Linked DNA regions of Sus scrofa. The protein of the gene in region 2 purifies or fractionates together with the protein of the main gene of each other region. This does not show direct contact. Links are inferred from orthologs where the notes say so. Each region holds a gene or a part of one and is shown on either strand. Other genes may lie near its edges.

What was found. The genes of interacting proteins can lie anywhere in the genome.
Region 1: the proteins of ARID1A (region 2) and SMARCD2 purify together in Homo sapiens (affinity purification with mass spectrometry; 7 studies listed by BioGRID and IntAct, with this or other methods). This does not show direct contact. The link is inferred for Sus scrofa from reciprocal best matches to the Homo sapiens genes ARID1A and SMARCD2.

Annotation. Positions count from the first base shown.
Region 1 is NC_010454.4:15,098,399-15,102,050, forward strand, and holds the end of SMARCD2 (SWI/SNF-related matrix-associated actin-dependent regulator of chromatin subfamily D member 2), read left to right. Parts: intron 1-192; coding exon 193-348; intron 349-766; coding exon 767-862; intron 863-990; coding exon 991-1,092; intron 1,093-1,203; coding exon 1,204-1,365; intron 1,366-1,502; coding exon 1,503-1,600; intron 1,601-1,761; coding exon 1,762-1,897; intron 1,898-2,065; coding exon 2,066-2,188; intron 2,189-2,324; coding exon 2,325-2,426; intron 2,427-2,545; coding exon 2,546-2,599; 3' UTR 2,600-3,501; downstream 3,502-3,652. UniProt on the Homo sapiens protein: Involved in transcriptional activation and repression of select genes by chromatin remodeling (alteration of DNA-nucleosome topology).
Region 2 is NC_010448.4:84,073,676-84,077,327, reverse strand, and holds part of ARID1A (AT-rich interactive domain-containing protein 1A), read right to left. Parts: intron 1,493-3,652; coding exon 1,280-1,492; intron 1-1,279. UniProt on the Homo sapiens protein: Involved in transcriptional activation and repression of select genes by chromatin remodeling (alteration of DNA-nucleosome topology).

The DNA.
Region 1 (3,652 bases), on a different chromosome or scaffold from region 2:
ATCTTACAAAACTGAGTTCCTTGAAGGCCAGGCCTGGGACTCCCTACTCCCAATTCTCACTGCCTAACAGGGGCCTGGCCCAGCGTCACTGCTCTGCACTGATGTTGAACGAGTCCAGAGGGAAGACTGGGTGGCAGTGTTTTCCCACATGCTGGGCCCCCTCTAGCTAACCGGTTGTCTTTCTCTCTTTAGCAAAAACGAAAGCTGCGGATCTATATTTCCAATACGTTCAGTCCCAGCAAGGCAGAAGGTGACAGTGCAGGAAGCGCAGGGACTCCTGGGGGGACCCCAGCAGGGGACAAGGTGGCTTCCTGGGAACTCCGAGTAGAGGGAAAACTGCTGGATGATGTGAGTTGGGGGGAGAGGTGCTGGAGGGGAGGTGGCCTGTGTGGGTTTCATTCTTGGGCTGACACTTGGGCGCTCCTGGGGATGTCCTGCCTGAGGGAGAGCAGCTTTGCACAGCTCCAAGTCAGTGAGAGGTGGCAGATTTGTATGGTTGTGACAATAGTTTTCCTGCAGATGGCAGTGAAGTGTCCTGCGGAAGGGGTACCCCTTTCTAATTTGTCGTGCTTTATTGGCTGCCAGTGGGGCTGCATAGAGCCCTTTTCCTGTCCCCAGTCTCTCATTTTCTCCTCTTCCCTCAGGGCCCAAGAGCCCTCGGGTCCCCGAGCTTCAGGGCCAAGACAGCATTCCTCTTTGGGGCCTAGTATAGCTTAGGCTCGAGCGCCCAGCAGCACCCCCATCTCACACCCCTTTGCATCCCCAGCCTAGCAAACAGAAGAGGAAGTTTTCTTCATTCTTTAAGAGCCTTGTCATTGAGCTGGACAAGGAACTGTACGGGCCTGACAACCACCTAGTGGAGGTGAGAGTGGGCCTGGGGTGACGTGCCAGGTGGGCAGAGAAATGGTCTTGGTCCCCGTGTAGGGCCAGTTGTGTATAGGGTCATGCCCACCCCCTTGCTGATGAGCTCTGCTCCCCTCCTCATGCCAGTGGCACCGGATGCCCACCACCCAGGAGACAGATGGCTTCCAAGTGAAACGGCCTGGAGACCTCAATGTCAAGTGCACCCTCCTGCTCATGCTGGATCATCAGGTGACAGTGCCCCTCATCTGGGGGGGTGGGGGCATGTTCTTATCATAAACCCTGTCCCTGCCCTGTTCTTCCACTTTGATTTTTCCTAAGAACCCCTCTGTCCATCCCCAGCCTCCCCAGTACAAGTTGGACCCCCGACTGGCGAGGCTGCTGGGGGTGCACACACAGACGAGGGCTGCCATCATGCAGGCCCTGTGGCTCTATATCAAACACAATCAGCTGCAGGACGGCCACGAGCGCGAGTACATCAACTGCAACCGCTACTTCCGCCAGGTTAGCTGGGCCCCTGCCTTGCGTGCTGCTCCAGAGCCTCCCCCCACCACCCCCTGGGCTAGTTCTTGGCCACATTCTTCACACGGATCCTAGGATGGTCCACTTCCCCTGTCCCAACCCTCGGGTGTTCTTTCCAGATCTTCAGTTGTGGCCGACTCCGTTTCTCTGAGATTCCCATGAAGCTGGCTGGGCTGCTGCAGCATCCAGACCCCATTGTCATCAATCATGTCATTAGGTAAACGGGAGACGGGGAGGAAGGCTCCTCTAAGAACAGCTTATGTTTGGCTTGATGTAAAACCAGAGAGAAGCAGCAGGTTTGGTTCCTAGCAGCGTGGCCCAGGTGGGTGGGATGGCGACAGCGGTGTGCTCACCCTGGCTCCTGTGCGCTGTCCTCAGCGTGGACCCGAACGACCAGAAGAAGACCGCCTGTTATGACATTGACGTGGAGGTGGATGACCCGCTCAAGGCCCAGATGAGCAATTTTCTGGCCTCTACCACCAATCAGCAGGAGATTGCCTCTCTTGATGTCAAGGTGGGCCCTCCTACCTCCCCAGCCTGCTCTGGGGCCCAAGATAGAGGTGGGCAGGCTCTATCTAGACATGTAGCACCTTGGGGCAGGATCTGAGTCCTTTGGGGTGAGGCTTGGGACCAGACCCTGTAGGGGTGGGAGCCAGTCTGACCCATGGACTCCTTTTCCCAGATCCACGAGACCATCGAGTCCATCAACCAGCTGAAGACCCAGAGGGATTTCATGCTCAGCTTTAGCACTGACCCCCAGGACTTCATCCAGGAATGGCTCCGTTCCCAGCGCCGGGACCTCAAGGTGTGCTCTTCTCTCCTGAGCTTGAGCCCATGTTAAGCGCTGGGTGGTTTTGCCCCCATCACTCTTCTTTCCGTTCCGGGGGCAGACTGGCTAAGGGGTGGGAATCACATCCGGCTTTCCTCCCGGCTCTTTGCAGATCATCACTGATGTGATTGGGAATCCTGAGGAGGAGAGACGAGCTGCCTTCTACCACCAGCCCTGGGCCCAGGAAGCAGTGGGGAGGCACATCTTTGCCAAGGTGAGGCCGCCTCTGCCCACCTGCCCGCCTGCAGTCTTGAGCTGGCCGCACTCGGGAGGGGAGGGGTGCGGTCACATGCACAGGCGGACAGGTCTGAGCGCAGCTCTCTCCCCCTCCAGGTGCAGCAGCGAAGGCAGGAACTGGAACAGGTGCTGGGAATCCGCCTGACCTAACTGCTCAGGGATCCCTTTCTTCCCAGCCCTGGAGCCACCCCCTCCTCGGCCTGGAAGGGGACCACCCTCTGGAGTGCCGACACTTAGGATAAGGAGGGGGTGAGAGGTGTCTCCTGACACTCTCTGCTCCCAGCTTTCGTTTCAAAATGTAGTGATAGGATTCCTTGTTGCTTGGTCCCCAAAGCCTTATTATTTTACACGTTGGCTTTAATTGGGTTCACAGGAGGCCTTCTCTGCCCCCTGCAGGCAGGCCCGAGTAGGACCTGGAGGCTGTGCTTTGACATTGTAAGGAGACCTTTCAGAACCAAAGGCCACTCTGGCTTTGCTTGTTTACAGACCCCCTGAGGGCGAGTGTCGGAGCTGGCTCTGGGGAGCTGGGCGAGGAAGAGGGGCACAGCTCACACTCTTCCTAGCCTTTCCAAACCAAAGTTCTTTGCCATTCCTACCAGCCCAGCCTTGCTGCTGGCTTTTTCCTTTCCTTTGGGTATTTGCACTATTTGTGGAGCAGGTTTTTCTATGCGGGAGCCACTTTTTATACAGGGGTAAGCTGGGGTTTTTCAGGGAGCCCTACTTGGTGCCTCCTTCCTTCTTTTCTTTCCTTGATCTATGCAAGCGGCTCCAGCCGCCATCATCTCCTGGGATGCCAGAGGGCCGCCGCCCCGGCTCTTGGGCTTGGGGGGAGCACCTCTTAGAGGAAGGGTGCACTCTATTCTCGGGCACGGCCTGAGGTGTGGGTGTGCGGGCTTGCTGGAGGGCAGGGTGAGAAGAGGAGCAGTGGGCAGGACTGCTGTTGCCCTTTGGAGCTCGGTAAGGAGGGTGGGTGGGCCTAGGGCTTGGCAAGTGCCACTTCTGGCAGGTTTGGAAATTTCCAAATAAATCTTTTGTTTATTGGTGGTACCCAGACCCAGTGTTTGAACAGTGTAGCCACTTATTAACAGACTCAAGTCCTCAAAGGCTCGTCCTGCAGAGCTTTATTTGAGGGAATCCACACGAAAGACACCTGCCTCACTTCCATAGCTTCTTGATGGACATGTTTTTCTCGCTGTCCTTCTG
Region 2 (3,652 bases):
CCATTTTCTCATTGAAAAAAAAAGTGACTGTATTTAAGGGCATACTTTAAAGTCTTAGGTTTTTATATTTATCCGTCACCATTTTTAGTGTGATTATCACTCAAGGATAAATTGTAGAAAGTGCTGTCAAAACAAAAAATGACAATAAAAAGATAATGCTGTGGATGGCCAGACAAGGAGAGGAGGAAAATCTTAACATTCGTAACAGCACTGTTAGCATCTTTACTCCTCAATCTTTCCTTTTCTGCTACCTAGTCGTCCTAGTCCCTTCTAAACATGCATTTTTTTTTCTGGCCACACCTGTGGCATGCAAAAGTTCCCAGGCTAGGGATTGAACAACTCATGCCACAGCAGTGACAATGCTGAATCCTTAACCCATTGAGCCACCACTCCTAAACATTCACATTATTTTATTTATTTTTCTTTTTAAACAGCCACACCTGCAGCACATGGAATTTCCCAGGCTAGGGGTTGAATCGGAGCTGCAGCTGCTGGCCTACGCCACAGCCACACCAAATCCAAGCCACATCTGAGACGTACACCACAGCTTGTGGCAATGTCAGATCCTTAACCCCTAAACATTTGTTTTTTGTTTTTTGTTTTGTTTTGGTTTTTTTTTGTCTTTTTGCTATTTCTTGGGCCGCTCCCGCGGCATATGGAGGTTCCCAGGCTAGGGGTCGAATCGGAGCTGTAGCCACCAGCCTACGCCAGAGCCACAGCAACACAGGATCCGAGCCATGTCTGCGACCTACACCACAGCTCACGGCAATGCCGGATCGTTAACCCACTGAGCAAGGGCAGGGATTGAACCCGCAACCTCATGGTTCCTAGTCGGATTCGTTAACCACTGCGCCACAACGGGAACTCCTAAACATTTGTTTTAAACCACACAGCTATATGTTGAAAGCCTTGAGAAACATGCAAGCCTTCTGTCCCAGAGCACATGGTAGGAATGACTTTTCTTTGTAGCAGTGGACTGGTGCTCAGTCATTGCCTTTCTTGCCTCCCACTTCCTTCAGAGATTACCAGTGAGTACAAGGAGGCCAGCCAGGTCACAGAATAAGACAGATAAGCAGAGCCTGCCAGGGACCAGTTTTCCTTGAGCATACATGCAATGGTGCCCACAACTTGGCCTTTTAAGTAGCATACTGTAACTAAGATTCAGCTGGCCTATGTTCCTTTCAAGACATTTGGAAACCAAAGACACATTCTGATTCTACAGCTCAAGATCAGATCCTGGACAACAACAAGGATTAAGGAAATTGGAGTCACCATCTACCTGCTGTGCATAAGAGAGGCCGCCCATGGTACTCTGCGCTCGGCCCTGCATGGTCATTGGGTACCGCTGTGGGGTCTGGGACCCATACGGCTGCCCTGGGTACCCATGTCCTTGTTGCGGTCCTGATGGAGGTCCCTGTTGTTGCGAGTACGGATTAGTCCCGCCATATGGCTGAGGTCTCATCTTGCCCATCTGATCCATTGGACTGGATGGCTACAAAATAAAGAGCATTTTATTAACCTGAAGCTGTGATGGCCTCTGACCAATGAGAACACAAACCTAAGCATATAGGTCTATATGCCACAAAGAGAAACAGTTACTATGAAAAAGTAATGGTACAGACCCAGTAACCCCTTGGGCAAATCATTTAACCTTTCCTCAGAACCTTGAGTTTGTCAAATGTAACATGGAAAATACCACCAGTTTGTGAAAGCATCTTGTAGCTATATACTATTTTGTAAGTGTGGTACTACTTGAGATCCACAGGACAGGCCAAGTATGGAACAACGAACAGATGTACTCTATGGTGCAGGAAATCAGAACAAAGGCACTTTAGCTGGGAGGGGATGGTGCTGCTATACTCTGTCATGATCTTGTTCAAGAACATGAAAAATGATGCTTCAATACTGTGGTTGAGAATTTAAATACTCAAGCATCTAGATGTTTTTATTCTTAAATAGTGGAATCTTTTATTTCCTTGCACATCCATAGCCCACTTGCACCACAGCACAAGCACCTAAATTTGTTTTTTCTTCCAAATGGGTAACATAGCTACGTTACAGCCATTAAGGAAACTGTGACCCTGAATTTACTTAGAGCCTTGTACAAATCAACTGGAAAGATCACCTCCTTTAATTTTCAAGAGCTTGAGGGTGCAAGGAGGGTAGAACTTACATCTAAGACATAGAGGAGTTCCCGTCGTGGCACAAGGGAAACAAATCTGACTAGGAACCATGAGGTTTCGGGTTTGATACCTGGCTTCGCTCAGCAGGTTAAGGATCCAGCGTTGCCATGAGCTGTAGTGTAGGTTGCAAACATGGCTCAGATCCCGTGTTGCTGTGGCTCTGGCGTAGGCCAGCAGCTGTAGCTCCGATTTGACCCCCTCGCCCGGGAACCTTCATATGCCATGGGTGCAGTCCTAAAAAGGAAAGGAAAAAAAAAAAAAAAAAAGACAGAATAATGAAAGCTCAAAGTTCCATTCATAGGTTTTGGCTACAAACGTATCACTCAGCTCTTTGTGGTGCAACAGGATCAATCAATTCATATCACTTTTTGACCTAACTTTGTAGCCTATTAGAGCTACACAAGACAGAGCCCCAGCACACTTTCCCCTGCCAGAAATGCCTACCTACATCTATTGGTGGTGTGGAGGGGAGAGGGGACTGTCTCTAGGCATCTTAAATAGATACACCCAAGTTGCAAAGTAGGCCTGGAAAACATAAAACTTGAAAACTGAATCTTAAATTGGGGATGGGGAGCAGATATTAATACTCTGGACCTGAATATCATAAACTTTCAAATTAAGGAATTCAGTGGTTCTCAAACCTCAGAATATATCTAAATCACCTGGAGGGCTTGATAAAACACACAATGCTGCAACCCACCCCAAAATCTGATTCTGTAGGTCCAGGGTTGGGTCCAGGATATGCATTTATAACAACTCCCAGGTGATGTTGATGTTGCTGGTCCAGGGATCACCACACTTGAAGCAGCACTGGTCTAGATTACACCTAGGGTCCCTTCCAGTTCTATTATTCTATAACTCTTCCCCCCCGCCCCATTTTTGGCTGCCCCACAGCATAAGGAGCTCCTGGGCCAGGGATCAGATCTCAGCCACAGTCTCAACCTAAGCTGAAGCTGTGGCAATGCCGATCCTTAACCCCACTGTGCCAGGCTGGGGACTGAACCCAGGTCTCAGTACTCCCAAGACACCACCAATCCCATTGCACCATAGCGAGAGCTCCTGTTATTCTACAACCTTACAAAAGAACACAAATCCCTCCAAATTCGGGGGGAGGGGGGGGAGATCAATTGGTTGTCTGTACGTATTTCTCTCTTTTTTTGGCAGAGTACTACCTAAGTGTTTTATGATAAAGGAAGTTGAGCTGTCATGAGGAAAATGGATAAGATAAAAAGCCACAGAGACTACTCTGAAATATCAACAGAAAAAAAGCAGAAGCAAAGTTCTCTCTTACGCTGCAGCTGAAACCTCAGATTAAAAGGTAACAATGATGAGAACACCTTCCAAGTTTCTAAACTGTAAGAATCATAGTAAAATGGTGTCCCAAATCACCACTACATATTAATATTATCATTATTTTAATTTTTGGCCACCCTGAGGCATATGGAGCTCCCAGGCCAGGGATCAGATCT